2 linked regions of the Caenorhabditis elegans genome follow. The protein of the gene in region 1 binds, or shares a complex with, the protein of each later gene. Each region holds a gene or a part of one and is shown on either strand. Other genes may lie near its edges.

Region 1 (10,860 bases):
ACCAACTTTTGAAATCGCGATTTTCAATTGTTTGAATTGCCACCTAAATGAGAACTGCGACCAATCAGCGACTCGTTTTTTAATCTTGGATTTTTAATTCTTTCGCGATTTTTTTTTCCTTTTTTTGTGGTATTTCCTAATTTGAGACTAATTCGGTTTCATTGAAGCCATTCACGCTACTGAAAAAAATAATGTGCCTTTAAGTAATCTATCAAAATAAATTTGAAAACTTTTATATTATAATTTACCCTTCATTTCTAGCATCGCTTAGAAGTCTTTGATGATCCGGCATTTTCTTCATATCAGGCCAATCAGCATCTGATGGGTATCCGAGTAGATGGAATATTCTTTAAAAATTTCGAATAGTTAATGATTTTAATTTCCAAAAAATCTGTACCTTTTCACTTGATCATAGTGATATGGATTTTGTGCCTTGATGTCTTCCTCTTTACAGAAAAATAATGGTTCAGCGGTAAGAAGTTCGGCAAAAATGCATCCGATAGCCCATACGTCAATAGCCTGAGATTATGCATTTTTTCCTTATTAAATAGATTTTTCAACGTACCTTTGTATAATGCTTTGCTCCGAGAAGCAATTCAGGTGCTCTGTACCAGAATGTGACAACTACTGGATCTAATTCAGCCATCGGTTTCAGAGGATTTGCATAGATTCTTGAAAATCCCAAATCAGCAATTTTTACCCTAGAATTATTATTTCATATTATCGCATAAATTTCAAATTCAGTCAAACCTTCCTCTCATGTCAGGTGGTCCATCACCCATTAATAGAATATTTGCTGGTTTGAGATCTCGATGTAGTACCCAGTTTGAATGTAAATAATGCATTCCTGAATATTTTAAAATACAGTTGAGTGAAATTGGATTTTAGAATTTCAAACCTGATAAAATTTGAAACAATATATTTTTGACCATATTCCGTGGCACCATAATTGGGACTTTCTTGCTTTTAGCTGTTCGATGATGTTTGATAACGTGCCAGAGATCGTGTTCAGCATAATCCAATAAAAGCCAGACTTTTTTTTCGTTGGTAAGAAATACACGTTGAAGACAGATTAAATTCGGATGCCTGAAACATTTTTTTTTTTTGAATATCTACTTCAGTTTTTTTTTCGAATTTTAGATTATAAAAAGGGGAAAATCTCGAATTCAATCTTCATTTTAAATTAATATTATTTAATCGGTGAAATTACCTTAATTCTCTGAATAGAGCAATTTCTCTGCATGCAGACATTGAAAATCCTTGTCCCTCAATCATTTTTAATGCGTATTCTTTGTTAGGAAATTGTCCATTTTGCTTTTTCGGAACTGCTTTATAAACTAATCCATATGTTCCTCTGCCGATTTCTTTTGAATTTTCAAAGTAGAAAAGGTCTTCTACTCTCTCTCGACGCTGTGCCAATTGTTTTTTGAAGTTTTCATCAATCATTAATCTGCAATAGGGATTTTCTGATTTATTTATAGTGCAAATTTCCAACTTACGTCATTTTTCAGTTACTACAGCGAATACTACTCAGTCTTTATGCCAGGAAAATCGATGTCCAGAAAAACGAAAATTAAAATTGAAGTGTACGGTAAGGAAGTCCGCAAACACTGCACCCACGTACTAAACACCAAATATCACGACATCTTCGTCGGTCTTCGTTTTCTAGCACTTTTTCTTGTGGCAAATTCTCGCCGAACGTCACTTCTTCTTCCCAAAGAACACAGCGTTAAGACTGAAAAATCAATAAATTAACTAATCAATAAATGCCACATGTCTAACAGACAAATAACTAGGAGGAATGCACATTCAGAGAGGATACTCTGGTTTGGCAGCGAATAACGCTTTCAATCGATCCTGTAACCGCGTTTGCCTCAAATCAGTTTAGAATGAACAAACCGAATATTGTATTTTGGATATTATTTTGTCTGAATTTAAAATAAACTGGTCGTCGGAAATAAATATTTCTTAACTTTTCCAGAATTTTCTAACATAAATCAAAAAATTCTTATGTTCTCACGAAGTCTCGCTCTCTCGTTGTTGCAGATTTTAGCATTTGTCGAGTTTTCAAAAGATAACAACTCAAATTTACAGGCCGATCAGTTCAAATGCAAATGGGTGATCATCAAATGATGGGAAACCAGAGGTATGAGTTGAATTAAAAAATAGCTTGTTCAGTTTTAGTTATTTGGATCAAGAAATCCAATAACAACACTCGAAAGATATTACAGAACTTACGTTCAAAAAGTGATGCCTGCACAAGCTGGTGGTGCAGTATCACAAAATGCCACGTATGTGCAAACGGCAGGAATTCGAACGGTTCATCACGACGGAAACGGACAGCAGAGGGTGAGATTTTGAAGAATATAATCAAATTTTGTTCGAGACAAGACATATGCTTGAATTTATGAATTAAAGTTTATTTCAGATAGTTCAACTACCCCCGGGAGTACGTCAGATTCAGCAAAATGGTGTCGGTCCTGCCTATGTTCGCCAAGTTCCTGGTGGTCAACCAATGCAAGTAAACTTTGGACATCCAGTAAGTCTTTATTATCAGTTTCTCAATCAACATAACAAATTCTAAGAATTGAAACAAAATTTCAAATTCACGAAACTATTTTAATTTTTCAAAAGAAATTGCAGGGAACGATAGCGGGTCGAAATGTTGCAGTTGGTGTTCAAATGCGACCTGTGCAAGGACATAACGTTCAACAAGGTTATCAGAGTAAGTTTTTAATTTTATTTAGAAAATTGATAGTCAATATTTAATTGATGTTATTCAAAACAAAATATTTTTTTTTTTAAATCGGTTTTATTTCAATTTATTTACGGTCTCCGGATGCCGTGTGTTTTATCAATAGAATACAAGTACTACGTATATCTAGAATCGCGTATATGTTTCTGCAATAATTAATTGTTTTATTGGAATAATATTCTAGACACAAATTAACTCTACATTTACATTTCGAATAACTCGATTTCTGATTTTTGAACGATTGAAGTTTCACATATTTTCCAAAAGGAAAAATTAAATATTGATTAAATTTTCACTGTTTTTGCAAACAAAAAAAAATCGAAAACAATCAAAATAATTCTGGAAAATTTCAAACTCGTGTGTTGGGTCTCACATTACGTGTTGTATAAGACATTCTTGTTTGAAAAACTGAAAAGAGTTTTAAATTTAATTCCAGGACAGCAAGTAGCAAATCAAATTCAACAACAAAATCGAGCTGTATTTATGGCACAAAATCAGCAAGGACAACAACAGATAAGCTATGCGCAAGCACAACATCGACAACAACAACAGGTATGTTTCATGATTATCATTTACTATCATTTACTATATATAAAGCGCGTGTCCTTCTGTCCCTATGTAGTTTGATCTCTGATCAGAGCAACGAAATTTTGGGAAACCTTATGCTAAATGCGCAACAGACATCGATCGAGGTCCGCGATAGACACCGTATATCTAATGTGTTTTCTCAAAAAAGTCGGGGGCCGCGCCGTAGGTGCGGTCCACGGCTGGTTCAGATATATTCACCAAAATTAATCAGAGGATATTACAGAATCAACAACAACACCACCAGCAACCACAACATTTTAATCATCCTTCTCAACAAAATCAAATGATTATGCAACATCGTCAACCACAAATGCACCATAATCAGCAACATCAAATGGTTCAACCACAAATGACACGTCATCAGATGGCCCAACACCATGCTCAGCAGCCACATCCGCAGATTTATGTGCCGCGTGACATGAATTTGGCAGTGCCACTGAGAGAACCCTCACCTGAGCCGGTAACAGATGAATGTACATTTTCATGTTTCATATCTACATTTTTCAGATTCCTGTCAAAATTGAGGTTCCAGATGTTCCTCCAGAAGGTACATCGGCTGCCAATGAGGAACCAATGCCAGATGATGGTGATATCGATATTCAGGTACTTTCTAACAGCAATCAATCATCAAAACTTGAAAATATTCCAGATTCGAAATGTTGTTTGTAATTATACACTCCCTTTGCACATTGATCTTCGAAAATTGGCAATGAACACTCATAACGTGACATATGAAAGAGAAAAAGGAGTAATGATGAAACAAAAAAGATCGCCTGGTTGTTATATCAAAGTATATAGTTCTGGAAAAGTATATATTGTTGGTTGCCGGAGTGAGGCGGATTGTAAACGAGCTGCACGTTCAATTGCCAGACATGTTCAGCGAGTTATGGGAAAAACGAAAGAACGAGTTTCGATTAGAAATTATCGAGCAAGTTTTGAAAAGTTTCAATTTATCTATTAAAAAAATTTATCTATTAAAAAAAAAATATTTAAAAAAAGTTCGCCTTCAAGAAGTACAGTAGCTTCCGCCATTTCCGATTTGTTTTTTTTTCTTTTAAAGATGTTTCATTTTTGTTAAAGTTATTACTTGTAAATTTAAATTAAATTGAAGAAAAGTGTAAAAATGTCAGTCGTGCAAACTAGTGTACTAAAATTATTTGACCGTGTATCGTAGTTTCACCAGATTTTTACATGCCTTTTTAAAGGCGCACGGATTTATTCAGAAAGGTCTCGGCACGCAAAATGTTTATGGTAATCTTTCTTTTTTTTTTGAAGTTTGAACATTTGGAGAGGCACCACGGTTTCAAGATCTGGTGGGGTTCCGGATCTACGTTTTGGTGCCAGATCTGGAAAACGTAGAACCGGAATCCACCAGATCTTGAAACCGTGGTGCCCCCATTTGGAAACAGATTTTTTAACAGAATTTTTTTTTAAAGCTGAAAACCGTGCAGTTTCATTGAAAAACGCAAACATTGAAGAAAAAGACTACAATAAACTTTTTGCGCGTCGAGACCCATCTGAAGAAAGTCGTGAGCCTTTAAAGAGCCATTTCAAAATTTGAAAAAAAAAATTACGATACCACGTAGAGTCAGGTTGTCCCATCACGGTGTGATCTACAATAAGTGCGGGTATTTTTGCTCAGAAAAGTGTGACGTCAGCACATTCTTAACCGTGCGACACCAGTTGGAAACTCTACGTCACGTTTCATTTTTTGTAGATCAGACTGTGATGGGACATTCTGACACCACGCGCGATACCGTTTTTGTGTGTTTGTCAATACCATAAAATTTTGCAACTTTAAAATATTTATCTAATTATTAAGTTTATGTGGAATTTAGGTGAACAACGTTCTGGCCACGTGCCGTCTTCCATTCGGAATCAAAATCGAAGAAGTCGCAGCAAAATATCCATCAGAATCCACATATGAGCCTGAACTTTCCGTTGGTCTTGTTTGGAGATCTGTGACACCAAAAGCTACTCTTCGAATTCATACGACTGGCTCAATTACAGTCACTGGAGCTCAATCGGAAGCCGATGTTCTCGAAGTACTCTCAAAGATCTATCCAATTGTTCTAGAATTCCGATGTCTCGAACGAGCCAAAGGAAATGTCGCTGCTCAGAAGAAGAGGAAACGAAAGGCACCTGTTAACAGAGGGTAAAAATTTGTAAAATTCTGGCTTCAATGTAAAAATAAAATAATTTTTTAGACCACCAATCAAACGCGAACGCTTTGATGACAGCAATTATAGAAATTCTGGAGTTATCAATAACCAGGTATGCAAATAAAAAGTGTTTCGGTGGTTTGAAAATAATACAAATTTAATTTTAAAATAACACATTTTTCTTTCAGGTCTATTTCTCTGATGAAGATGAAGATCTGTATGATGAGCTCGATTTAGAAGAATAGTTGTACCTAATTGATGCAGCCTACCCATTCATTGTAATTTTTAAAAAATCTCAATTTGCAATCATTATCTGATTACCTTTCTACATCATCTCGTCATAATTTCTCTAGTTTTAGCTTTCTATCTTCCAGTATATCTTGTTCTTTCAATTGTTCTGTGTGCTTCAAAATTCATGCTTTATCCGCTTTTTTCCTGTTCTTTTCTTTCTCTGTTTGCCGTTACCATCATCAACATCATAAGTCATCATCGAATCAACACAATCTCCTATCCATTTTTTTGTAAAATTAACACAATGATCAGAAAAACAATTCTCGCTTCCTTCTAGCTCTTTCTCTCTCCACATCCCACTATGTGCTCTCTACTTCATGTCTTCATCATGTTCCCCTCAAGCCCAGCAAATCTTAATTTTTCCTTATTTTCCATTATCTATTTTTCCTCATGAATCCCAGTTTTAAAAACAAGTAGCAGATTTTTTTTTGTTCTGAAACAATTCGCAAAAATTCCACAAAAAGTCCTTAAAAACAAACGAGTTCGTATTATAAAACTGTAACCTACCTTTTCCCAAAGTTGTTGTATTTCATTTTAATTATTTTAGAATGTGATTTTTCTACAATTCCCTTTTCATGATTCATCCTTTTTCTAGATTTAGTTATTGTCTCCCTTTACCATTTTTCTCGTTTTTGTCCATTAAATATGTTCATGATTAAATTTCAATGTCCGTATCTTTACAGAAGGTTTATGAATTTTTCAAAGTTACGAATTGTCAAAGAAACCAGAAAATCACAAAAAAGATTCAATTGAAAAAATAAAGAATTATTTACTGTCCAGTGTCCTTACGAGCTGTTGCACGGAACGCTCGTTCTTTTTCAAACTGGCGATTATCAGCTCGGTTTAAGAAGTCCATTTTGTTCAGATAACCGCCTTTCCCTCGGTTATGAGATTCCAAATCTTCCTGAAAAACAAACAATTTATTCAAAAACCTTAAACTTAAAGAAACATACTTTTAAATTATTTTGCGTCGTAAAATCTTTCCAATCTCGATCAGATTTCTCCAAAACAGAAATTTTAGAACGCTTCGACAGTGATTTTGCAGCATCAAGCAAGCCGACTCTTTTCTTTCCGGGTACAATGCTACTTTCAGACGATGTTCCAGCTGTTTCCGTTCTGAAAAAAATTATTAGAAAAATAAGAAAAAGTTGTTTTTAAATTTGTATCAAATAAAAACTCATGTCAACTCACTTTTTCGGATAAACCTTCTGATTTGTAGACTCGTTGGATGCAGATCTGTAAAATACATTTTTAAAAGTTATTTCTACTTGTTTCAAACATACGCTGCTGATTTTGGATACACCCTTTCTTCAGTTTTTGGAATATTCTTGCTTGATGTATCGTTGACAACTGGTTTCGGTGCTAGCCCAGTTAATTCTGCAAATATCGCATCCACATCAACACTTCCTTCAGTACTGTTTGCCTTTTCTGATGTATGGTCGTCACTTTGTTTTTCATTTTTCAGATGTTCAACTTCTTCGTCAATTCCATCTTCGCATTCTTCTTGATCATCGATCTGTTGAGGAGAATGAGCAATAAAAGGGCGATATCTAGGAATGCTTACTTCATCCTTTGGATCAAAATCGGTATCCTTTGTTGGATCGTAATCTTCATCGGACGATGAGTTGTAGTCTTCTTCGTTATTTTTAAGCTCCGAGGTCATTTTTCTGAAACAATTTATATTTTAAATAGTTTCACAATTTCAGTGAGAATTCAAAAGAATAAAATATGAATTAATATATTTATAAAATATGAATTAATTTATATTATAATATTATCTCAAAAAAAGTAGCGCGAGATAATTTTTCTTATTGAAGTACGCAATTGTGCGTGGTATTCAGTGTAAAATTCGACGGAGCGCACATGCTTTATGATGACTTAGCCGCCATTTTTGCATTTCATTGTCGAAATTCACTTCCTTTCATTTTTTCAAAGCACTCCCTTCAAAAACTTCATTTATATTGTTTCAGAACCAAAATGAATGCTCACGACGAAGTCCAGCGCACACTGTAAGTCATTAAACCTATATTCGTTTGAATTAACTCAATTTTTCAGGAATCCTACTTGTACCGGAACATCGGTTATCGCTCTCCAGTATAAAACTGGGGTTGTTGTCCTTACTGATCGAGTTGTTTCCTATGGAAAAATGGCTCGTTACAAGGTTTGAATTTCCGTTCAGCTGAAAGTGGATTTTCATAATATTTGTTTCCAGAATGTTTCTCGTCAATACAAGGTCAATGATAATGTTCTCATTGCCTTCGGAGGAGATCACGCTGACTTCCACTGGCTTCAAAATGTGATCGAGCGTCAGGTTCTTCTCTGGAAGCGCTTCGATCAGGATATTGGACCAAAAGCTCTCCACGGATACCTCACAAGCCTTCTCTACGCCAAGTCTGTTTTCCTAATTAAATTGAAAGTTTAAGTAAAAAATTTCAGACGTTGCAAGATGAACCCAGTGTGGAACACACTTGTTGTCGCCGGAGTCGAAGAGGAGGAGAAGAACAACAAGGAGACTAGCACACCTTTCATCGGTGTCATTACTCAGAAGGTAAACTTGAAAGCGTTAACTTGCCGGATCAGAATCTCATGATTAAATAATCACATAATAATTATTCTAAATTTCAGGGATGCGCATATCAAGTGAAGCACATTGCAACTGGACTTGGAGCGTTCCTCCTCAACCAAGCTGTTGAAGATGAGTGGAGAAAGAAGGGAGAAGACCTCTCCCGTGAAGAGGCAGAAGCCGTGCTTCGCAAATCGCTTGAACTTACTCTCTACCACGACTGCGTCGCTGACAATGAGTTCGAAATCGGACGTGTTGATGCGACAGAAGGTGTCGTTTTGGGTAAAGAAGAGAAGATTATTGGTGACTGGTCGATTGCCGAGACTAACTGTCAATATGAATAAGTTTTCCCCGGTGTGCAGGATGCGTTTCAGTATCTCCATGTTTAACTTATTTGTATCCTTCTTTTCAAAACATTTTACTCTCTCCAACCCACGTTTTCGGTGTAAATTTTATTTATTTTCGCGTGAAGTCGATAAATAAACTTCCATTTAATCCTTCTATTCACGTCTAAGTATTCACACGCATCATTTCACAAGTGCTCGAGTCAAAAATAGCGAGCATGAATTTCTCTGGTTTAAAAAGTATGATGAGTTTTTGGTTTAAAGTAAAATCGAGCGCTTTCAGGTAAACTCCAAAAGCTCAGTTTATCACCATCGCCTGATAAACAGAAATCTGATTATGAAAAGAAACAGGCGAAGAAGATGAGCTACAAAAAGAAGATGCAGCAGCGGTATAAACTGAGTGATGATCAGTATGAAACTCACAAGTAATTAAATAAATTGATGTATATGTAATAACTTATCTGATTTGGTTTCCAGGAAGGATGCTCAGAAACAACTGAAAAATTGGGAAGAATTTCGAAAGGAGCAAGTAGTTGAAATCTTTCATACGCAGTCTCAATACGTTTCGAAATCGAAAAATTCAGACGTGGTAAGCATACAGTATATATATATATATATCTCGCCGCGCAAAGGAAGTGCTTAATTACGGTTTTTACTATCCATCTAAAAAGTTAAAAAGAAATACATTATTTCTTGAAATTCAGCGCCATCCAAAGATGCAACGAGCCAATACGGTTGTCAATCGTCAAGGAGTGAAAGTTGATGTAGAATTTGGACGATTGAAAGAATACTACTTATCCACTTTGGCTCCACAAAAAAAGTTTGTGTCGATTCGTGATCACGTAACATAGAGATTATAGAGAAATTTACTTTAACCATGAACTTTAGGCAGCTCGTGAAAAGGAACTGGACGCTCTTCGTAAGAAACAGAAAATCAGTTTGGAGCAAAGGAAAGATAAACAGGACAACATAAAAAAGTCCCAAGCAGAGTACGATCAGATGAAAAGGTTTCAATGGGTCGAATGGTTTTATGTAGAAATTATCATATTTTAGCTTATACGCTGCCCCTGTCGATCCCAAGCAAACAAAAGTGGAAACAATGGAGCAAAAAGAAGTTTTAGAGCCAACAGCCCCGATGGAGAAATTCGGTAAAACTACGAAACAATACAGAAATCGGAGTGTTTATTTTCAGTTGTGAATACCACTGACGACAAAAGAGCCCTGTTCCCAGCCAGTTGGTATCAACAACCGATTTCCCGTTCGCAATTGAAGAAAGGAAAGATGATTTATTGGATGGCAAAAGACGAAGAGTAATTTTCGTGGCTTGCATCCGTTGGATCTTAATATTTGAATTTCAGAGAGGATATGACGTTGGACGATGATCCAGAGGGAAAGTACACGGTTACTGCTGAAAAGTTGATTGAGACAATGACTGCTGGGGGGAAAGTTAAACATGCTGGAATAACAGAACCACCTAGCAACACAGCAAACACCATCATGTCCGAGTCCTTGGCATCAATTAATGCGAGATACAAGAAGAGTTGTGAAAGAAATGCTGTTTTCATGAATACCTTGCACGGTACTATTGAATTCAACAAGAAACAAGTATCTGTAGATAAAACCCTCTCTACAAGTTCAATAAGCCAGGATGATGCGACCGAGTAAGAATTTCGAAACTGATTTTTCTCTAACGAGTTTTATTTTTAGCGCTCCGAATCAAATCATTTTTGCTCCAACAATCACTTCTCATGTTTTCAAAGGCCGATCTCTGAAAAGACAGTATGCAGTGAAAAATAAGGCACTTGAAACTTTTGAGGAAGATCGGAAGGATTACACTCGAGAGGCTGGAGAAGAAACTAGTGGATTGTAATTTTTTGTATTGAACTAGAAAAATAAAGCCTTAATTTCTTTTATCTAACAAACGTTGAAGAAAAAACACATATTTTCACAAATGAATATGCTTATCGATGTATTAAGCTTCGAGGGCAGCGAGTCTCTTCTTTTCGGCAACCTTAGCCTTTGTATCCTTCGAGACATAATTGGCTGGAACAATGTACCCGAAAATGTAGCGACGTCCAATCATTTCTCCGACAAAGAACCAAAAGACTACCTCGAGGGCAACTGCCGAGTAGACGAGACTTTCCTGAAGTTATTTTT
Region 2 (7,229 bases), on another chromosome or scaffold:
AATGATGGAAGAGATACAAGCATCGTGTATGCTCCCCAATCACCGGCAAAATGTCCAGCCCAGCAAGCCCATACTGCAGGAGAAGTTAGAATTTTGATCCATGGAGTTGATGGCACTTTTCCAGTATCTTTTCCCATTGAAGCCTCGACGGCTGTTACGATGTATTGTTTTTCTTCAGGTGTAATTCGAGGATGGGTAGCTGGTTTGTCAGAGCTAACATACCACCAAACAGCAGTCCAGAGAACACCGAAAACTCCAATGATGTAGAAGATCGACGGCCAGCCACCATCAAATCCGTACTCGCAGAGGAATCCAGAGAGTGGAAGTACAATTACATTTCCGATTTGAGCGCCAGCATATGTAACTCCAGTTAAGACAGATAATTCCAGAGGTGGTCCCCATACAGACCACATTGTGTGCATTGCAGGGAATGTTGCTCCTTGAAGAAATCCGATTGCGGCACGAAGAATAGCCAGAGCATATTCAGATGTTCTGGCAGCGACAGGATTTAGCAGTGTAAGGAGCGCAGATCCAAGAATCGTCACGAATACTACTCGCTTTCCTCCGTAACGTGAAGCTAGATGTCCTCCGATAATTTGACTTCCAATGTATCCATAGAAAAACGATGAAAGAACCATTCCAGTTGTTTGCTTGTCCCAATCGAATTCTCCAATCACCTAAAAAAAGTTGCATGATTCTTTATCATTCGGTTTTCAAATTGTTTTTTTTCATCACTGAATAAACCCTACCGAGCTGTTGCTCTCCACAGGTGTCATTTCCTTTCCACAACGAGAGACCTTCTCCACTCCTGTGTCCGTCTTATTCTCATTAACCATACAAACAACTGCGAACGACATATTCGTACGCATCATGTAGGTGACAAGACATCCAAAAAACATGACCAAGGACAACGCAAAACGCGTGGATGGCACCAGCCCTGCAAAAAAGCGTTTAATCATTTATCTTTTCTTCTTTTTTTTTCTTTTATGAACTTTTTTCGGTTTTCTTCTGGTATCTGTTACACTCTCCGAAAGTCGATCATTAATAAATCATTCGTCTGCAAACTTCAGAACAGTTTGGAGAGTCACGACCAAACTATCAATTTCGGGTGCCTGTCAGGGCTAAATAACATTTAATCTTGTTAAAATTTTTGAAAAGGCTTCGAATAGTACCTGAAAGTTGCAATTTACCGAAAAATTGTTTTAAAAACTATTAACGGCAAACGGCAACTTTCAGGTGCCATTTGAGATTTTTCTCAAGCTTTTCAACAAAATTAAATATTATTTTCGGATGGAAATAACTTTTTATACATTTTAATTTGCCGCACAGATCCGGTGTATGTGTTCAAAATTTTAAATTGTATTTGGTCTTCATAGTTTCTACGTTTTTTCCAAAAAAAACTAAGTGGTTTTTACTTTACGATCAACTCACTCGGTTTGGTAGTAGCCCCTTCCATAATTATTGGCTCGTCGTCGAGAGCTTCTCACTATTTTTCGTATATCGACGAATCCGCTGGGAACCGACTGACAGCCTGAAAACAAAAAATCAGAAAATTCAAGTGATAACAAAAATAATTGAAATATGTTCCTCGATCAAACATATAATGTGGTGAAGAAGATAAGAAATGCGGCAACGTAAAGGAAGAGCCGCCCAAGCGGCAGGCCAACTCAAGAGCTCTCAGGACTAATTGAAATTCGTTGAAAATCGGATTTCACTACTTGGACAACAAGAGGGTGAAACTCAGATGACGTTGTTTGAGATAACTGCTTCTCGCTAAAACAGAATAAGAAGAAAAAACAGAAGGCGCGGTGAGACACATGAGAAACAGAGGGCGGTTATTTGGAGCACGGCTAGCGCGCAAAAGTGATGCAATGTGATGAAGCTGGTAGAAAAATGGAATAACAGAAAGGGAATTTTATAATTGGAAAAAATCACCATACTTTCGTGAAAATATTAAGAGATTTGTGTAAAGTGCCTGACCAGTTAATAATATTTACAATGTTGGGTAAAGAGCGTAGGCATAATTCAAAGAGCACCGCCTCCAAATTACATGTTTTCAGTGGAATCACGCGTTTATATTTACCTAAAACAAATTTTCTTTTAAGCTGACCGATTACCACACTTCTTATACTCCGAAATTTCGTGTTTCTATTGATAAGACGGTCAGCGAAAATGACCAAATATGATGGGAAGAGCATTTTCCCATCAAGATTCTGATATTTTTTGAAAGAAAAGTATTTATAGAAGGAAAAGACTAACGCAATTGAATGAAAAAATAAAGAAAAGTGTGTCAGAGAAAAGAAAAGGTAACCCGATACGACAGTTTTAAGAATTGCAAACTTTACGCCCTCCAATGTCGGAGATTTGAGCGTTCAAAAAAATTGTTCACGTATTTCAAGTAATATCATATTTAGCCGCTCAAAAGTATTTTTAATAGGAGAAAAAACATAAATCATTTCGGGTCTAGGTTTCGCCTAAAAACTGAAGAATACGAAAGGATGCAGGAGAATGGCGCTCGTTCCCTCGGACGCTGGCAGTCTCCATCTCTCTGCGTCTCTTTACTTTCGATATCTTCCGGATTCCGAGGTCACTAACCATGAGCTTTTGAAATGACGTTGGGAGGGCACGTGGGGAAGTTCAGAGAGAATAACAAAGTTCTATAAAAGTATGACTTGACGGATATCGCTAATTGAAAAAAATTAGCTTTACTGACCATCAAATAAAATAAAATTATAATAAAGAACAACCACTAAAATAATAATAACATTTACTTAAAGAAAGTAAAAAATAAATAAAGTTTGATTGTATTATTTGACAGAAAAAATAATGGTCCTATTTGGACGTCATTGTCACATCATCGCTTCGAGTATCATCGCCCTGTATCGAATTTGTAGAATCCAATGACGATTTGCTTTTCTTCGACCTCTTCAGGATCCTATTCATTGTGTGACCATCGAACTTCATCGACTGCACTTTTGTCCAATTGGCACGGAGTCCAGGGAGAATTCTGTGGCTCTTTGTAGTCTTTTTCGATGCCGATGACACTGGACGAGCTGGAAAAATATAAATTTGCATACATTTACGCTTATTTGTAATATTTCTTACGCGGAATGAATCTGGCAGCAGACAGTTCAGTTCTCTGATCATCCATACGCGAGCTCATACTGAAAATGAGATCCATCATGTCTACGGGTTCCTCGTTCTCTTTCTTTTCGATCGCTACTGGTTTCTTCTGGTCTTCAATGATTCCGTTGACAATCATTTCCCAGGTTTCAACATTTGTTGCGTGCTCCAGTTTGACGACGAACTTATTAATCATGTCATTCGAGGATGTCGGATCAGGAGACGAATCAATTGCGAGGCATGCATCTTGATCAGTTGCCGTTTCGCTTCTCTCTTGATTCATCGCCACGTCGATCTGCTCGTAGAACAGTTTGAAACTGCTTTGGTTGATGGTCAGAACACTCCCCAAGATGATAAAATAAGCAGCTTGGCGTCTTTTTCCAAGTGCAATGAGACACTTTGCGATTGTAAGCAACACATCTCCAATGTGTTCGTTCAATCCAAGCTTCCGAATCGATACAAGCGCTTCCAATCCGTAGAGATATGCTTCGTGGAATTCGCCATTTCTCAGCATCTCTTCGGATAGCTTCGACTTATATTTGACTACATCTCGCTCTTTTCCGAATTTCGTGGCGTAGAAGAGAGCACTTCTGTAAAAATAGAATTGACATTTTTATTAATCGTTAAAACTAAAAATTACCTGAGATCTCTGATAATAAAGAAAAGAAGATATGTCTCAGCATAGAGAGCCTTGTCGTAATAGGCGATGTGAACTGCTTCAAACTGGTCTGTTTTGATGGCAAAATCGATGCATTCTTGATACTTGCGACGCGATTCCTCGTATTTTTCGTCGAGTGACAAGCATTTCGCCTCAATTAGCATAATTTTGGTCTCAGACACAGCTCCTTCCGTATTATTCTCGTTGAACAATTTCACGGCTGCAATCTGTTCAGCACATATTGACAAAAGCTTCTTCTTCTCATCTTGATTACTCTCGACGTCTCTTTCACATCCTTCGAGGCACACGGAAGCGAACAAAATTCGAGCTTGACCGATATACTTCTCTCCGTTCTTCTTATTGCTGGTGTAATCAATGAGATCCTCAGCAAACCGTCGAGCCTTGGAGAACTTTTCCATTTTGAGTGCCTGCTGGACGATGCGACGTGTGGAATCACATGCTTCTGGGTAGTTGAAGATCAATCTGAAAAATTAAAGTTATAGAATGCCCAGCCCATTTCCGTTTAATTCACTTACTTGAACATGTTCAACTCATGTTCGAAAAACTCCAAGGCCTTGGCGTCGTGGTTCAAATGCCTGCACACTCTTCCGTAATACATGTAGATTGTACCAAGCAGTTGAAAATTGGAGGTTCCGAACTCCATTGTGTCCTCTAAGCGTCCTTTTCCATCCTCGTATTGTCCCAATTTCATGGCCGTCACCGCGCTTTTCAGCATTGCTTCGATGACTTCATCCTTAGGGCCATCATAATAAGAGACGTCCATTCGTTTTGCGAATGTGGAAACTTCTGAAATAAATCGAAAATTGCGAGCAAAAATAAAAAAATAGAGGAATTTTACGCAAACAGACAAAAATTTCACGCGGATCTGCACGAATACACGAAATATTTAAAACGGGGAAAGTTTCTTCAAATATCTCACGAGGTTTAATAGACTATTACACATTTTGTTTAAAATTTTACAATTTTTCAATAAAACAACCGCTGAAAAACAAATAAACTTGAACAATGACTCGAGAATCTCTGTGGGGAAGTGAAACTTGGCGGTTAACGCGTTGTTTTTTCGCGCGCTCTCAACTTCTAATTTAGCGCCGCTTTCTGATATGTCGTCAAATGTGTTGCCGATGTACGCAAGTACACCATCACGCGCATTTGCACACTCAGTGGAGTTTGCAAACAAATTTTCAAAAATAAATTAAATACTGTTTATTGTTTAATTTTATGCATATTTGTACAATTTGAATGTTATAGTTTGATTAAAACTATTCGAAACATGTAAATAAACTTTAAATTTGTAAATGTGTCGCTTCCCAGACCGTATATTGTGTATTCTTCAAATAAATATGTATTTCGCAGAAACTGTCTTCCCAACTCCGAGCCGCACTGGCGGATAATTCGCCGGCTGCTCCAATATCACCGGCTCCATCTGGCTCGGCCTTGTCACTCGATGAGTCGTCTGGAATTTCAGACCGCGATGTACATTCTTCTCAGGAACAAACGGCACATCTCTCCGAAGTCGATGTAAAATCGATTCATTCATCGGATAGCGAAGATGGTATGCTGCAGTAGAACAAGGAAGATATTTATTTTCTATAATTTCCAGAACCAGCGCAAAATCCCTTACCAGAAGTTCCTGCAAATTGTGGCCCTCCGACGATACCTCTAAATGTTCTATTAGACTTTGCAATTCAACATGTTTACCACGAGATCACAGTTCTTGCGGAATTGATGCAGCGGAAGACAAATGATCAAGGAGAGCAGGAGCGGAAAATGTCTCTTGTACATTTTGCACACGCTACTCGCAGTCAATTTTTGAAACTTGTAGCATTAGTAAAATGGATACGGATTTCGAAGCGAATGGATGTTTGTTATGTAAGCTTAATTCGCTCGATTTCGATCGAAAAAAAAACATTAATTTTCCAGTCTATCGACTACCTTCTCGATCTCCAATCACAATATTTCATCGACACGGCCGATCGATTAGTCGCAATGACTAGGGGAGATCTCGAATTAGCTCGTCTTCCAGAATACCATATTGCGCCAGCTATTGATGTTCTTGTATTAGGAACGTATAATCGAATGCCATCGAAAATCAAAGAAGCTTTCATTCCTCCAGCAAAGATCACACCGAGAGAACAGAAACTCGTCACTTCCCGATTAAATCAGCTCATTGAAAGTCGGCTTTCTCGACTTTCAAGCGGAATCCCACCAAATATAAAAGAAATTCACATCAACAATGGACTTGCAACTTTACTGGTTCCTGGAGAGTTTGAAATCAAGATTACATTGCTCGGTGAAACAGAAATGACAAAGTGGACTCTATTGAATATCAAAATTCTCGTGGAAGACTACGAACTTGGAATGGGACTTCCTCTTGTACATCCATTACAGCTTAATCAGCTTCATGGAGTACTGCAATCTCGGATGAATGTTTCCTTAAATCCTATTAAAGAAGCTTTCTCCTTTTTGCACAGTTTCTGTGTTTCACTACAATTGGATGTTTTGTTTTGTCAAACTTCAAGATTGGCAGCTGGAAGGTTACGTGATAACATTACAATCGAAAAGTATGACCCAAAAGAACGAGTTTTGGTAGTTGGATACTGGGTTAAAAGATCGAAGAGTCGAAGATTAACTGTAGGACAAGTCAAATGTGATGCACAATACAGAGTTCAGATCTATGAAGATCCAAATGACAAGCTAGGTGGACTTAAAGTTCGTCATTTCCCTCATGCTCCTCAGCTCGGACGACTTGATTCTGGAGCTGGAATGTTGTCAATTGATCGACTATTATCAGAAACATATGTGGTCAGATGTAAGGAACGATTGATGCGGTTGAGAAGAATCCTTGAAGCTGCTGAACCAAGATTAGAAGTGAAGATGACTGGAATCTCTGCACCGTCACTTTCTCTTGCTCTCCTACCGGATACCTCTTCAAAGGATGAAATGATGACGGTATCTGTGAATTCATTCTGTGGAAAAGTGCTCTGCAACGTTCACATTCTCAGTGAGTTGTGTCGTTTCAAATTCCAGCATATTAATTTTAAAAAAATACTCTATTTTTTACCAAAATTATAAAAGAAATAAACTTATTCATATTTCAGGTGCTGAACACGAAGATGTCCTGGCTTTTGGAAAAGCTCTCTACAGTAGTCAATGTTCAGCGCACACAATTCAAATGTATCTTAGAAAACTTCGTGTCGCCCTCGTGATAGAACGATATCGACGATCAGTGAAAGCTCTTCCAGTTCGTGAAGTTCAAGAAGCTGAGCTTCTTCCATTTGCAAAGGAATGTCTTGGTGATGCTCCTGCCCAACGAATTATTCTTCAGTTCCTTCGATCTGAAGACTATTATCTGCTTGTCACATTCTCTCCCGATGAAAAAGCAGTTGTTAAGACTCACATTCAACTTTTGGAAGTTGTTGGAGACCGA

What was found. Proteins that work in one complex are often made in the same cells at the same time.
Region 2: cdk-8 (region 1) and rgr-1 share a complex: the UniProt entries of both Caenorhabditis elegans proteins name them as parts of the mediator complex.

The regions. Positions count from the first base shown.
Region 1 is NC_003279.8:8,693,206-8,704,065, reverse strand, and holds the start of cdk-8 (Cyclin-dependent kinase 8), read right to left. Parts: upstream 1,601-10,860; 5' UTR 1,505-1,600; coding exon 1,500-1,504; intron 1,451-1,499; coding exon 1,211-1,450; intron 1,087-1,210; coding exon 899-1,086; intron 848-898; coding exon 751-847; intron 702-750; coding exon 566-701; intron 520-565; coding exon 398-519; intron 348-397; coding exon 249-347; intron 1-248. Other genes in the region: tlf-1 (TATA box-binding protein-like 1), read left to right, coding at 2,109-2,146, 2,223-2,349, 2,429-2,539, 2,644-2,725, 3,192-3,307, 3,567-3,803, 3,851-3,946, 3,993-4,271 and 3 more; F39H11.1 (Craniofacial development protein 1), read right to left, coding at 6,566-6,700, 6,750-6,912, 6,988-7,032, 7,080-7,312, 7,361-7,459; pbs-7 (Proteasome subunit beta), read left to right, coding at 7,774-7,805, 7,852-7,957, 8,009-8,187, 8,233-8,344, 8,422-8,703; K07A12.5 (Pre-mRNA-splicing factor SYF2), read left to right, coding at 8,922-8,943, 8,987-9,128, 9,181-9,292, 9,408-9,545, 9,592-9,710, 9,757-9,851, 9,896-10,013, 10,062-10,364 and 1 more; asg-1 (putative ATP synthase subunit g 1, mitochondrial), read right to left, coding at 10,676-10,846. UniProt on the Caenorhabditis elegans protein: Component of the Mediator complex, a coactivator involved in regulated gene transcription of nearly all RNA polymerase II-dependent genes.
Region 2 is NC_003281.10:9,388,577-9,395,805, forward strand, and holds the start of rgr-1 (Mediator of RNA polymerase II transcription subunit 14), read left to right. Parts: upstream 1-5,527; coding exon 5,528-5,671; intron 5,672-5,722; coding exon 5,723-6,803; intron 6,804-6,900; coding exon 6,901-7,229. Other genes in the region: putative transporter slc-17.2, read right to left, coding at 1-677, 750-937, 1,432-1,456; gpr-2 (G-protein regulator 2), read right to left, coding at 2,833-3,053, 3,106-3,713, 3,764-4,264, 4,318-4,565. UniProt on the Caenorhabditis elegans protein: Component of the Mediator complex, a coactivator involved in the regulated transcription of nearly all RNA polymerase II-dependent genes.